Linked DNA regions of Oryzias latipes. The protein of the gene in region 1 purifies or fractionates together with the protein of each later gene. This does not show direct contact. Links are inferred from orthologs where the notes say so. Each region holds a gene or a part of one and is shown in the gene's direction. Other genes may lie near its edges. The genes, in order: activity-dependent neuroprotector homeobox protein, chromobox protein homolog 3 and znf644.

Region 1 (4,154 bases):
ATTGAACAATATGTTTATTTGATCAGTTTATTTCATAAAACACCTAGTTGTTTCACACAAAAGATGCATTAAAAAACAACGAAAAAAAATGTTTTTTAAGAGTATTTTAATTCAATTTATGCTAATCTTTTCTAAAATAATTAGACTGTATATTTTATATGGGCACATATAGGTGATATATGTGATTTATGTGATTTATTACGATCCGAACTCTTCATCCTTTACTTCATTAGTTTATTTAATGGAAGCTCAACAAACCCTTATGTCCTAAATGTTTCAGAGACATTAAAGTTCTTGTCTTTGCCAGGTTCCCATCTCCTTTGTGGACCGCGTCTACGGGGAATCCAAACTGGGAGGCAACGAGATCGTGTCTTTTGCAAAAGGACTGCTCATGCTTTTCGCCACAACATGATCATCTTGAGCTTTTGTAGTGGTCTCTCGGTCTTCAGGTCTGTGCGCAGAAATGTACCTGGATTATCAAAAAGTGGCACGGCAGCTGATGCGAAAAAAAGACGTGTCCCGGTTGGAAGCCTTTTCACGCACAGAGATTCTCCCATGTTGTTTCACATTCCCATCACTTTTTGCAAAAAAAACGGTTTAATCATTCCTAAATCAGACAATTCACAGAATGAAGGCGTTAGGCTGGTTACAGTTTAAAAATGTTTTTGTTTGTTAAAAATGATCAAGTCTTGCTGGCTCCTTTGTTCACTTATTATTATTATTATATATTTTTTAGTTTAGTTCATTAAATCTGAAGCAGGACTGTATAGACAACACAAATATCAAGGACACTTTATTGTAAAATAGGTGTTTAACAGTTTGAGTTCAGGTGTGATTAGCAGCAATGTAAAAGGAAAAAACAATTGCTCAATCTGTCTGGTCAAAATAAAGATGTTCTGGGAATATATTTGGATGTATTTTTTAACACCCTTTTTATTAGGAGCAACCATAGATTGTAAAAAAAAAAAAAAAAGACTGTTTTCACAGTCTGTATGGGAGTGAGCCTTTATCTCTGCTGCATTTCTTAGCGCCACCTAGTGTTCCGGCTGGGAACTTAAGTGCTGTACTCAAGAGAGTGGAGGAAAGAGGGTACACCAGATGTAAGCACAGCACGCATGCGCCGACTTAACCAAGCTAGTAGGACGCCCGCTGTCGGTTAGCTTGTGTAACTGCTTTTTAGGGTTGTTTATCCTCCACATGGCCTCTCTCAAAGCCTATAAAGCTTTTAGGCCTCAAAAGTATGTAATTGTTAAGGAAAATGTAATAAATAACGGCTTAATTGGCCGCTGATTGATGACAAACCAATCAGGGGCTTTCATTAGACGGCACGACCCGGGATCTCACAATAAGATGGTTTATGCTAATGATGCCGACGTCACTTCCGCCCCTTTATTTGCGCCATTTTGGATAGGGCAGTTTCCAGGCTGGATGTGTATTGTCTGTCAGGAGAGAATGGGCAAAGTGGATTCCGCTTCCAGGAAATTATAGGCAGAGTTTAGAGCATTTATTCACAGGAGCGGGCGAACCCGGTCGTTGCGCCCGCAGCGCTCCGGGGAAACGAGCCTCGGAATTATCTGATGAAGCTCGCGCGCCCACCGTTCCTGTTTGCCGACCACAGGGAAGAAAACAGCCCTCGTTGGAGAGGGACAGTCGGGTTTGGGGGGTAGAGCGGCAGCGGGGGCTTGCTATTCACCTCACGAACGAAGCACCTGAGCGGGCGAGAGCGGAGCAAGTGTCCCCACATCGCGGTGGTCGGGCGTAGTTCGGTCAGCCGGGCGCTGCGGACGCGAAAGCAGGTAAACTTGGAGGTCCTCCCGCGGGGGTGAACCCCGGGTGTTCGCCGTTAACCGTGGCTACCTGCTGGGTGGCTGCTAAGGTAACTCGTATACGAGGCGGGTGTTTATATGAACAGGGCGGGTCTCTGTAAACTCCAATATCTTTCAACTTCTTTATAAGGAAGTAAAATAAGAGTTTGTGGTTGATTCTGAGGCGACAGTAAGCCTATTCCGAGTCCAGCCCGTTGGTGCTTGTTTGTTAGCTTAGCGGGCTAACAGAGCGCGCGTGCGCCCTACTCTTTGTCGTTCTGGATCCTGCCAGATGTTGGACATCCCACAGATGTGTTACGGGGCTGATGCCGCGCACTCTGAGTGGAACTCAAGGATCTCTTCAGGTTTATTGGTATGGGCTCCTAAACGGCTCCTCAGAGGTGGTGACAGCTCAGCCTTCCCCCAATCCAGGGGGAAGGAGGGCTGCTGTCATTTTTTTCTGCGGGACGTAGTTCATAAGTTTGAAGAAAGTCCAACATGCAGAGGCTTCAGGATGCAGTAGCATTCAATTAATGAAACCTTTGTGGAGTTATGAGCAACTGCAAGAGTCAACACCCTCCTTATATTTAGCATTCTGTAGAATATTAATATTTCCGGACTGAGTTTGAGGTGAAAGTCCGTCCATCATAATTGAAGATTGGCATCCAGCCTCCTCAGAATCAAGGAATGAGAAACTTTTGCAGCTGTTGCAGTGGATGGAGACCCCCACCCCACCCCAGAAGCTGCGTGCACACCTGGATGGTGCTCCAGCATGTGCTCCCAGAGAGAACATGGCTGTGTCCTGCTGCTGCAGGAGATACAAAGGCCTCTTCATGTTGGAGGAGAACCCGTTTTCTGCCAGCAGAGTGGCCTCCTCTAGCATTTGCTCCCTCCCTCCTTCCTTCTCTCCTCCCTATCCTTTTTTCCCTCTCCCTTCTCCTCATCCTTTGCCCCCTCTTGCTCTCACCCTCTTCCCCCACCCCCTCTCCCCTGTTTTTCCTTACCCAAACCAGCCTCACTTCCTCTGCTCACTCCCCCCTTCCATCTCTCCCTCACACTTCCTTCACACTAGCTGCTCACCCCCCCTCTCCTTCTCTCACCCCTCTAACCCCCCCTCCTCCATTCCCTGCTTCTCACTCCTCCTCTTCCTCCCTTCCAACATCACTCCCTCCTCTCCTCTTCTCTCATCCCCTCCCCCTCCACTGCAGAGACCTTTTTGTAGGGGGCTGCTGCTTCCTCAATAGGAGGCGCCGTTCTCCATTGGTGTTATGAGGTGGGGGGGGGGGGGGGGCAGGCGGAGTGAAGGGAGGCTTACATAATGTCACTCCTCTCCAGCGCCATCTACAAGAAGGGGAGGGAAGCAGGAAAAAGGCCGAAGTGGGAAGTGGACTGAAGTCTGCCTCTCAGTTTTTACAGGTTATGGGGGGGGCGAGGGAGGCGATGGCAGCACCCAGAGTCCTTTGGGTGGAGGAGTGAACCGCCTCAGGTGCTCCCTGGACATGTTTGGCATCCAGCAGTTGTTTTTCCACTCTCTGTGACCTTTGACCTTCCCGCAAAGCGCCAATCACGTTTAATTAGGTGAACTGTTTTAGCTGTAGGTCTTTTCCAATCTGACCATTTGTTTTCAGCCACAGAACTTTCTGTTCCGGTTCATGTTGACATCCATATTTCAGTGGGTTTTCAAACAAATGCCCACGATTATCATGAGTATTCTGCCCTCTAAACACGCTTCGGTAAACAAAGAGGTTATTGACTTCAAAGACCCACTCCAATGAAAATCGTGTTTTTGGTGTTCTGAACAGGTTCCTTTGGTGTTTAATGTCAGTATGGAGGACATTTATTATGAAAATTGAGCTTAAAATTACATTTCTGAGAAAAAAAAAGGCTGTTGGAAAAAGTTGGTAGCTGTGACGTAGAAGCTGCTACGGCAAGCTACAAGCTTCCTGCTCGATTTTGATGAGTCAACATGTAGACTACTAGATCCATGATTTGGCACCTGTCTCAAACTTTGATCAAATTGATCACCATTTTTAATGCACTGGTATTGTTAGGTTGGGGTTGTGAGGGGCTGTAAGCTAGCGGAAGAGAACGTAAACAAAGGGATGATCTGAAAGGGATAATCATGATTAAAAGACCACTGGGAACTCTTTGAAAATGGATCAAAAGATAATTGGAGTGGGAATTTATATGTTTAGGTTTCTACCGGTTACTCTGAATCATTGATGAGGACTCCTGAGAAACCTTAACGTATTCTGATTTAAATTGAAAATTTCTGATTTTACTGTCCGTGCAAGAGAAATGCTGCTGAAAATGCAAATGTGCTGTTTGAATAAATCTATGAAAGTCATG
Region 2 (4,201 bases), on another chromosome or scaffold:
CCAGTTACTTAAAAAATCTATCAGCAAGGCAAGATGTAACCCTTTAAATATTTGTCATTATGCAAAGGGATTGCTATGAAAACTATGGGTTCACAGCTTTACAAAGTCAGCCAAGTGTGTGAAATAATTGTGGAGTGCATGAAGTGACATTTTTCTTTTCCTGGTTTAGCTTAAAGTTTACTTTTCTGTCTCTAAGTTTCGCAAATGTGTGTCTTTCTTGTTTTTTGATTGTTTGCTTGTTGATTGCTGATAGTATGGTTTTTCTTGAAGAATTTAGGCGCTTTTGGGGGATTTGTTTACTCTGAATAAAAAAAGAAAGTGGCATTCTTGTTGTTTTTTCTGATAAATATAAGATTATTGTTCACATTTTATGTGTACCTTTAAGTCTAAGCATTTTTTAAAGTGGGGTGAATGTCTTTCTCCTAACTTAAGTACTTTGCTAGTGCTTTAAGTTTTTATTATTATTATTAATCCAAGTACAACTCAAATCACACCATTTGGCCAGTGCTGTAGTTATTTGGTATTGTCAAAAATGGTAAAGAAGACATTTTGACAAAATTACAATTTTTCTAGCAGAGAATTTTTTACTAACTCGGTTCACTTGGTGTAGAAGATATTGTTCACTATTGCAAATAAAAATAAAAAAATAGAAACATTTGGATTGCAAAAGTGTAGACTGAAGCACAGATCATTTTATTTCGCCTTCACACTTATAGCAAAGGTATTGCTTTAGTGTAACTAAATTTAACAGACAACCTTATATTTATCAAGTAAAGATTACTGAAAATGAATCACTTTACATTTGATAATCACATTGAGACAGTAAATAATTTTCACAGCTTTAAACACTGATACTTAATTTTTTTCACACTCAATCAATACAACTGCACTGACACAATATTGTTTTGTGTATTTGTTATTTTATTTAGGGCTTTATTATTAGGATTCTATGCACCCAAATTCTGTAGATCATTCTATAGCAGGTAAGTTGGTTTGCATAAAATAAACATTTTTTGTAGTATTCTTTAGTAACACGAGTTTATTTTAGCTCAGAAGTCATTTGTAAGCGTCAATATCAAAAAAACTCAAGACATACAGAATATTTAAAACACAAAAACAACTATAAGCTGTTCCTTTATTAGTGAAAACGATAGAAATGTGTCAATGTTTTAAACATGCTGCAAAGCTTTACTCGTGTATTCTCATTTTTCATTTAAAATGAAAAAACATATTTTAAAGATTGTGAGATAAACCGTTATATAAACTGAGAAAAAATAAATGACGTAAAAATAAACTAACAGGACACCGTAGAGTCACAAGTGCTCTAAAGCAAATTGTTTCCTTACGGGCTTCCGTAGCCTACTCGCCTTTTGCGTTTGGCGCGCACCCTCCTTTCTTCATCTGTACATAAAGACAGGCAGTGACCGCGTGGTTGAATAAGTCGTCACCGAGGTCATTTTCTAGGCTTTACAAGGTATGTAAGCTACGTTTACCGGTATTAAATGCTGCATCTCATCTCTTTGTTTTTGAACTTTTTTTCTTAAATAACTAAGACGTAAGGAGTAATTTAAGCTAACTTCTTCATCATAGAAATGAATGCAATGAACCGAACAGAATTTGTATTTGACTCTTCACAGCTCAAGCTTTTTAAGTTTATCAAGCCCGAGTGTTGTATGAATAGTATACTTTTAGTTTTAGACTGTTGATTGTCTCGTTTTGCTATTGCTATTAACTTAACACTAGCACGAACAATCTTTCGTTTTTTTGTTGGGTGTCGATATTGCTGTATTGTTGTAATTATTTGAGGCGTTAAGGTAAGATCTAAAGAAAACACGTTTTTGTAGCATGTTGATGTTCCTTTTTAGTAAAAAGATATAAACAATGGTACCATGGCCTCAAACTGTTTTGGCTACGTTAGCATGTTGGCTAACCCAAAGGACGCTAGTACCATTTACGGAAAACTTGCGGAGTGAACGTGGCCGAGTCGCGTCCGTCGTAAAAAGTTGGAAAAACTAAACACACACATGCTGTACACCTTTATATTTACGGTACAAGCCTTTCTGCTAAATGTGGGTCCTACAGGTGAAGTGGAAAAGGGCAGTTGCGTGATACATCGGCAATTGACTCTCCTTCCTCTTGGTTTTAGAGGCCAGAATGGGCAAGAAGCAGAATACAAAGAGTAAGAAGGACTCACAGGACACGCAGGAAGAGCCAGAAGAATTTGTTGTGGAAAAAGTACTCGACCAGCGTCTCGTCAATGGGAAAGTAGAGTTCTACTTGAAGTGGAAAGGATTTACAGAGTGAGTTAACTGGAGCCTCTCCAGCTAGTTCTTTAGAATGGGGAAGGGGGGTTGGCCTGTTTACTCTGTTACCACATTTTTATGTGGTTAAGGAATCAGACATTTACAATAGATTAGCATGAGCCTTAGATCCAATTTTAAAGTTTTTGTACATTTATACTATGATTCTTAATTTGACCCCTCCCCCTCCTTTAACTTGAGCTTTCATTTAGCTAAAATTAGCCAAATTTTTGGCCTCGATTTTCCTTCTGGCTTATGGGTATACAAAATGGGCTGAATACTTCAGGAAAAGAACAAGACAATTGGCTCGAATGTGGCAAGCATCTGCCCTTTTTCTTTGTTTTCCACTCACGCTGTAACTACCCATATAACGTAAACCAAAATTACAAATAGTTCATTTACATGCAAGAAGACACCAGATTATATGCTTTAGACAATTTTCTCATAACTTGACCAGTCTTGTTATTTTTTAAAGAACACCAGATTGCCCTGATCACTTGATAACCCAGATCATTTGGATCTGATTGGTTTCAGATTGTTCTGAACATGTAGTAAAGTCATTTTTGCATGAAGCTGCTAGTGTTCTCCGCATCCTGTTAGCTTTACATTTTTTTTAAAAGTCATGATTTATATGCAATTGATCACAGCCCTCTTAACTATTTAGTGCTGACAACACCTGGGAGCCGGAGGAGAACCTGGACTGTCCTGAGCTGATTTCTGCATTTTTGGAATCACAAAAGAATATTAAGGAGAAGCCTGCTGCTGTTAAAAGGAAAGCCTCCACAGATGAGCCAGAGACAGAGCCCAAGAAGAAAGACATGGTATGTCACAATGTCATTGCAGTACTTTGAGCTCAGTTCTAATTAGTCATTCTTCCATTTTAAAACTGTTTTCTGAATGTTCATGTGCTTCCACTTTAGGCTGAGAAACCACGTGGCTTTGCCAGAAACCTGGAGCCAGAGCGAATTATTGGAGCAACTGACAGTAGCGGGGAGTTAATGTTTCTGATGAAATGGTACATTTTTATAGAATGTCTCTGACTGTCTACTAGACAGAACCTTTAAAAGATGTTTATGAAATGAAAAAAATTATAAGATAAACATCCCACTTTAAAATCTGGTTCATAGGATTATCATTGTAAAACTCCTCACTACACACTTTATACACTTTTCTCAGACAAACAAACATTTTCACACTTTTCTCTCTTGTTTAAACTCTCAAATAAGACAATAAGTCCAATATTTTAGAAAGCAGACAAAAATCTGGTCACAATGGAAGATGTTTGTAATGGGCAAGCTAAACGCATTTGTACAGGAGACATGGGAGGGAGGAGATGGATGACATGGTCATCAACCAATCAGGATCCAGAGGGCAATCAAAATAAACATGCAAAGATATTTATAAAAATTTGAAGCAGCGATAGATAAACCACAGCATAGGGAGGGGTTAATGTAAAACTTGTTTTAGGTGAGCAGTACAATTTGGCCCAGAATGAAAACTTCTAGTTTGAACGTTGTTCACATTTTCTCTTAACTTCATTGGTTGGTTCACAAAAGAAACATTGTGGAAAGATGTTATTTATTGTGGAATATCATATGACTAATTTTTTTAAAGTAGTTTTATGTTGAATGTTTTTTTTTTCCATTTGTGTAACGCTGTTTAATTTTTTACAGGAAAGACTCCGACGAAGCGGATTTGGTCCCGGCCCGTGAAGCCAACACTCGCTGCCCTCAGGTAGTCATATCCTTCTATGAGGAGCGACTGACGTGGCATTCCTGTCCAGAAGATGAAGCTCAGTAACTGTTGTAGTTTGTGCTGTTCTTTGCATTACCTCTGCTCCTTTCTCAGGACGTTCTGTGCTCCTGTTTCCTGCCTTATCCTTCTAGTTACATGAATTACAT
Region 3 (3,649 bases), on another chromosome or scaffold:
ATGCTAGTTACAGTGCCATGAAAATGTCCTAAAATGTTCCAAACTTCAACCAGGATTTGCCACAAGTCAGTTTAAATGGTTGAGATGGTCTTACCTGCAAACAGCTTCTCAAGCTGGATTCCAAGATTCTTAGTGGGCTATTCCAAAATTTTGGAGAATATATCTGATAGACCCCGCTCTATTGGGGGAGAATTGCTACCTTGTAGATTTGAGTTTACTTCCAGGCAGTGACTGTGTGGGATTGTCACTAGTTTCAGAATCTCTTTTTTTTATAGTTCTCTTCATAGGATTTCCCTCCAGCGGTTGAAAACCTTGATTTTTCAGTTAGGGAGGCATTGTGTCTCTTGTGGCAATTCTATGAGATTAGAGATTGTTGTAACTTGGTTTTGCAAATCTTCTCCTTGAAGTTGTCCTATTGTCCTAAAGCCCATCTAGATAAGATTTTGACGATAGGACAGTTAAGGACAACAAGTTAACATTAGTCAGAAGTTAGTTTGTGAATGACGGTAGAGGAAAAAAGCTCAGCTCAACAATAATTGTAGACTGTTTTTGATAATCGTAAAATCTGGTTATCAGTGAAATCACAGATTCAGGAAGAACAGTGACATCCATAATAAACTGCACCAGATCTTCACTAGAGACTCTGGAGAATCTTGGAAACATCAGGCCCATTACTGTACTTAAGATTTAAAGGTTTTCAACCTTGTCTTGCTGTATGTAAGTGGTGGGTTTTCAGTGAGCAGTTTGAGGTGATTTCTTTCTTAAGCCTGTACAAACAGAGACGGCACTTGTTTCTCCTAGCTAGTGATTGATTTAATGCTGGTCAGAGTTTAAGTCATTTCTTTATCACCTTTTGTTTGGATAAAGAAATCTTCCTGTCATGTAGTTACTTTTGGAAGCCAAAAAAGAAATTGTAATTCTTATTTTGCAAATGCCGCAATCTTTTTTTTAGTTTAACCAGACCATAAACTTAGGTTGACGTGGTTAGCAATTAAGTGTGATGTGGTCTCAATGACGATCAGCAGTCCAAGTCTGCAACAACATGTTTTAGCAGAGAAAGGGTAAAATGTCCTCTGGAGATTCAGTTGCTTTGGTACCTAAAAGTAGTTTTAGGTATCCGAGCATACTTTTCAAATGCAATGGAAAATAACCTTTGCATCTGGACTAATGTTTACTTTGTTCTAGTCCATTGTGGTAAACAGGGTTTAGTTAGAAATGAGCCTGTATGCTTACAAATCTATAGCCCTAAGCTGTGAGTGGGGATCACACATGAGGTGGCTTGGGTCTACCTCAGAAATAGGGTGAGCAGCTTGTTCCTCCAGAGAAGCTCTACAATGTTGTTCTTCAAGTTGTTCTTCACAACAGAAAGTGGTTTGTAGAGCCTGCGAGAATGACACTTCCTGGTCTAGCATTATGTATAACCACCAGGAGCCCCACCATTTCGATCAAAAGGAGGACTTTATTTGGAGAACTTTGAAGGTTACACTAATAATACTTAAGAAAGTGGGATGTATTTGCTCAGTCTCAGGACATACCATGTCTCACTACAACTACAATGATAGCAAATGTAGTTGCAGTGAGGACTGCTACTAAATGTCATTATTGTGTGAGTGTATCCAGCTTGATACCCCCCCTCCCCCGAATCCCAAGTAGCCAAGATGCCAACATCCCAACCTCACTCCTGATCTGTGAGAGCGGTCGCCATAGAAACATTGACTCAGTCTGACTCGGACCAATCACTGTTTACTAACAACGTCTGGTTCCAACACGATGGTGTCCGTACTGCAACAAAATAGGTACTGAATTGACTCAAGAGGACCGGGCTGCAGACAACAACATGGTGCCCAGACAGAGATGATAAGCCGGAACTAAAAGTCCAGAACCTTTTTTGGTCCAAAAACACCAATTTATCTGCAGATCCTATATTTTCTATGGGTGACGTCACACTCACTCTGTCCAGCTCTCATATACAGTCAATGGGTCATACCATGCTTGTGGTGCTACATTTATGGTGTCATGTTTTTATATTGGTTTATGCTCATGCACATTATGATCAAATGTTTGTGTTTCCTTTTGTTCTCCTCCCCTCCTCAGCGATACAGCTGGAGTCAGATTCTGAGACTGTGAAGGGTGTTCATGCTTGTCCGTTATGTGGGGACTCCTTTGACAACAGAACTGGGCAATCCAATCACATAAGAGGCCACCTGAAGAAACTTGGCAGAAGCTTTTCTACAAAGAGCAAGTCCCCAATAGTTTTACTTCGAGAGCTGATGCGCGACAAGAAGGAGTGCCAACGAGCTCTTCAGATTTTAGGAAAAAGGCGGAACCATTTCCACTATGGTGCTTCACCAAAGCTGCACACTGCGAATCGCTTCACATCTTCATTGACGGAATTCCCTAAAAACAATTCTTTTACAAGGGTTAACACAGACACCAAACCCCTGACAACTTCATTTTCATTAGATGAAAGTGAGGCTGAAAATGGGCACCGGGAGACAGATTTGGAAGTCAAAAATTCCCTCACAGGCACCAATGATTTGATAGGAATTCTAAAGAGGAGGAAGTGCCAGGAAGAAGCCAGACTCAAGGCGTCTTCTCAAGCGTCTAGAAACGTGTTAAAAGTTTCCTCAAACGGCGAGCTCAGTTCAGGATCAAGGGTTGCAACACTGCCAACCACAGGAGCCGGTAAGTACCTGTAACTTTCTTCTTGTAAAATTTTTATTTCTTACAGATGTTGATGTGGTTTCAAAGAAAACCATCCAAAGTTTGGCATTACACTTGGATCCACTGTTCTTAAGAAAACTTAACTCAGTTTATTTGTGAAGCACCAACACAAAAGCAAAAGCAAGAAGCATCATCAACCAAAGCTAGACTCATCAGTGTAATCCAGCTCAGTTCAGAAAGGCCAAATTCTTTAAACGGTATTAATAACAGCCTTTATAAAATATCAGATTACATGGCATTACATCCCTTTAGATTACAAAGTTGTTGTTTTAATCCTTGGTTTCCTGCATGTCGCAGTTCTGAGTTTTACTTGTTCCAATCTCCCGTGATCTTTTTCCCCTGTGTCTCGTCAGTCTTGTTAGTATATATGTCTTGTCATTGCCTTTCTCTGTGCTGGTCCATACCATCTGCTTCCCTGTCTTCCTGTTTACGGCGACAGTTGGGTTTTGTTTTTGGTTTCCCTGCTCGACAGTGTCTTTTGTTTGGAAATTAAACCCCTTTTACTTGGAACCGCCTGCCTCCCGACTCTGCATTTTGGGTCTTTCACCAACCCACGTACCTGACACAGGGCATGTCAGAATTTACATCAAACTCCTTTACTGCGTCCCCTGCTGCTGTAAAGTCTTTCTCCTGCCACAGTGCCGGACAGCAAGTCGTCAAATTGAGTCACAGAGAGACGGCAGAGAGACGGCTGAAAGCTGTTGTCATTTAGACGCAGTTGCTGCTCCTGTCTGGGAGAGTCTCTGAATGCTCTTGTGAACCTAGACGTGTAGACGTGCACTGCTCATCCAGTCTTTTGTGCAGCTCTTCAAAATAAATCCACCTGATCCCTCATCAGCACGTCGTCCATGATGAGCTCGAGAAAAACTTTGATGGTAGCTCCTCCTCCTACATGTGGCCGTACCGTCGGGTTTATTAGCACACT

What was found.
Region 2: the proteins of activity-dependent neuroprotector homeobox protein (region 1) and chromobox protein homolog 3 purify together in Homo sapiens (affinity purification with mass spectrometry; 7 studies listed by BioGRID and IntAct, with this or other methods). This does not show direct contact. The link is inferred for Oryzias latipes from reciprocal best matches to the Homo sapiens genes ADNP and CBX3.
Region 3: the proteins of activity-dependent neuroprotector homeobox protein (region 1) and znf644 purify together in Homo sapiens (affinity purification with mass spectrometry; 3 studies listed by BioGRID and IntAct, with this or other methods). This does not show direct contact. The link is inferred for Oryzias latipes from reciprocal best matches to the Homo sapiens genes ADNP and ZNF644.

What each region holds. Positions count from the first base shown.
Region 1 is NC_019865.2:4,532,846-4,536,999, reverse strand, and holds the start of activity-dependent neuroprotector homeobox protein, read left to right. Parts: upstream 1-1,277; 5' UTR 1,278-1,796; intron 1,797-4,154. Other genes in the region: dpm1 (dolichol-phosphate mannosyltransferase subunit 1), read left to right, coding at 308-412.
Region 2 is NC_019869.2:11,215,337-11,219,537, forward strand, and holds the start of chromobox protein homolog 3, read left to right. Parts: upstream 1-1,342; 5' UTR 1,343-1,474; intron 1,475-2,146; 5' UTR 2,147-2,154; coding exon 2,155-2,300; intron 2,301-2,964; coding exon 2,965-3,121; intron 3,122-3,220; coding exon 3,221-3,315; intron 3,316-3,973; coding exon 3,974-4,100; 3' UTR 4,101-4,201.
Region 3 is NC_019875.2:5,864,599-5,868,247, reverse strand, and holds part of znf644 (zinc finger protein 644), read left to right. Parts: intron 1-2,094; coding exon 2,095-2,685; intron 2,686-3,649.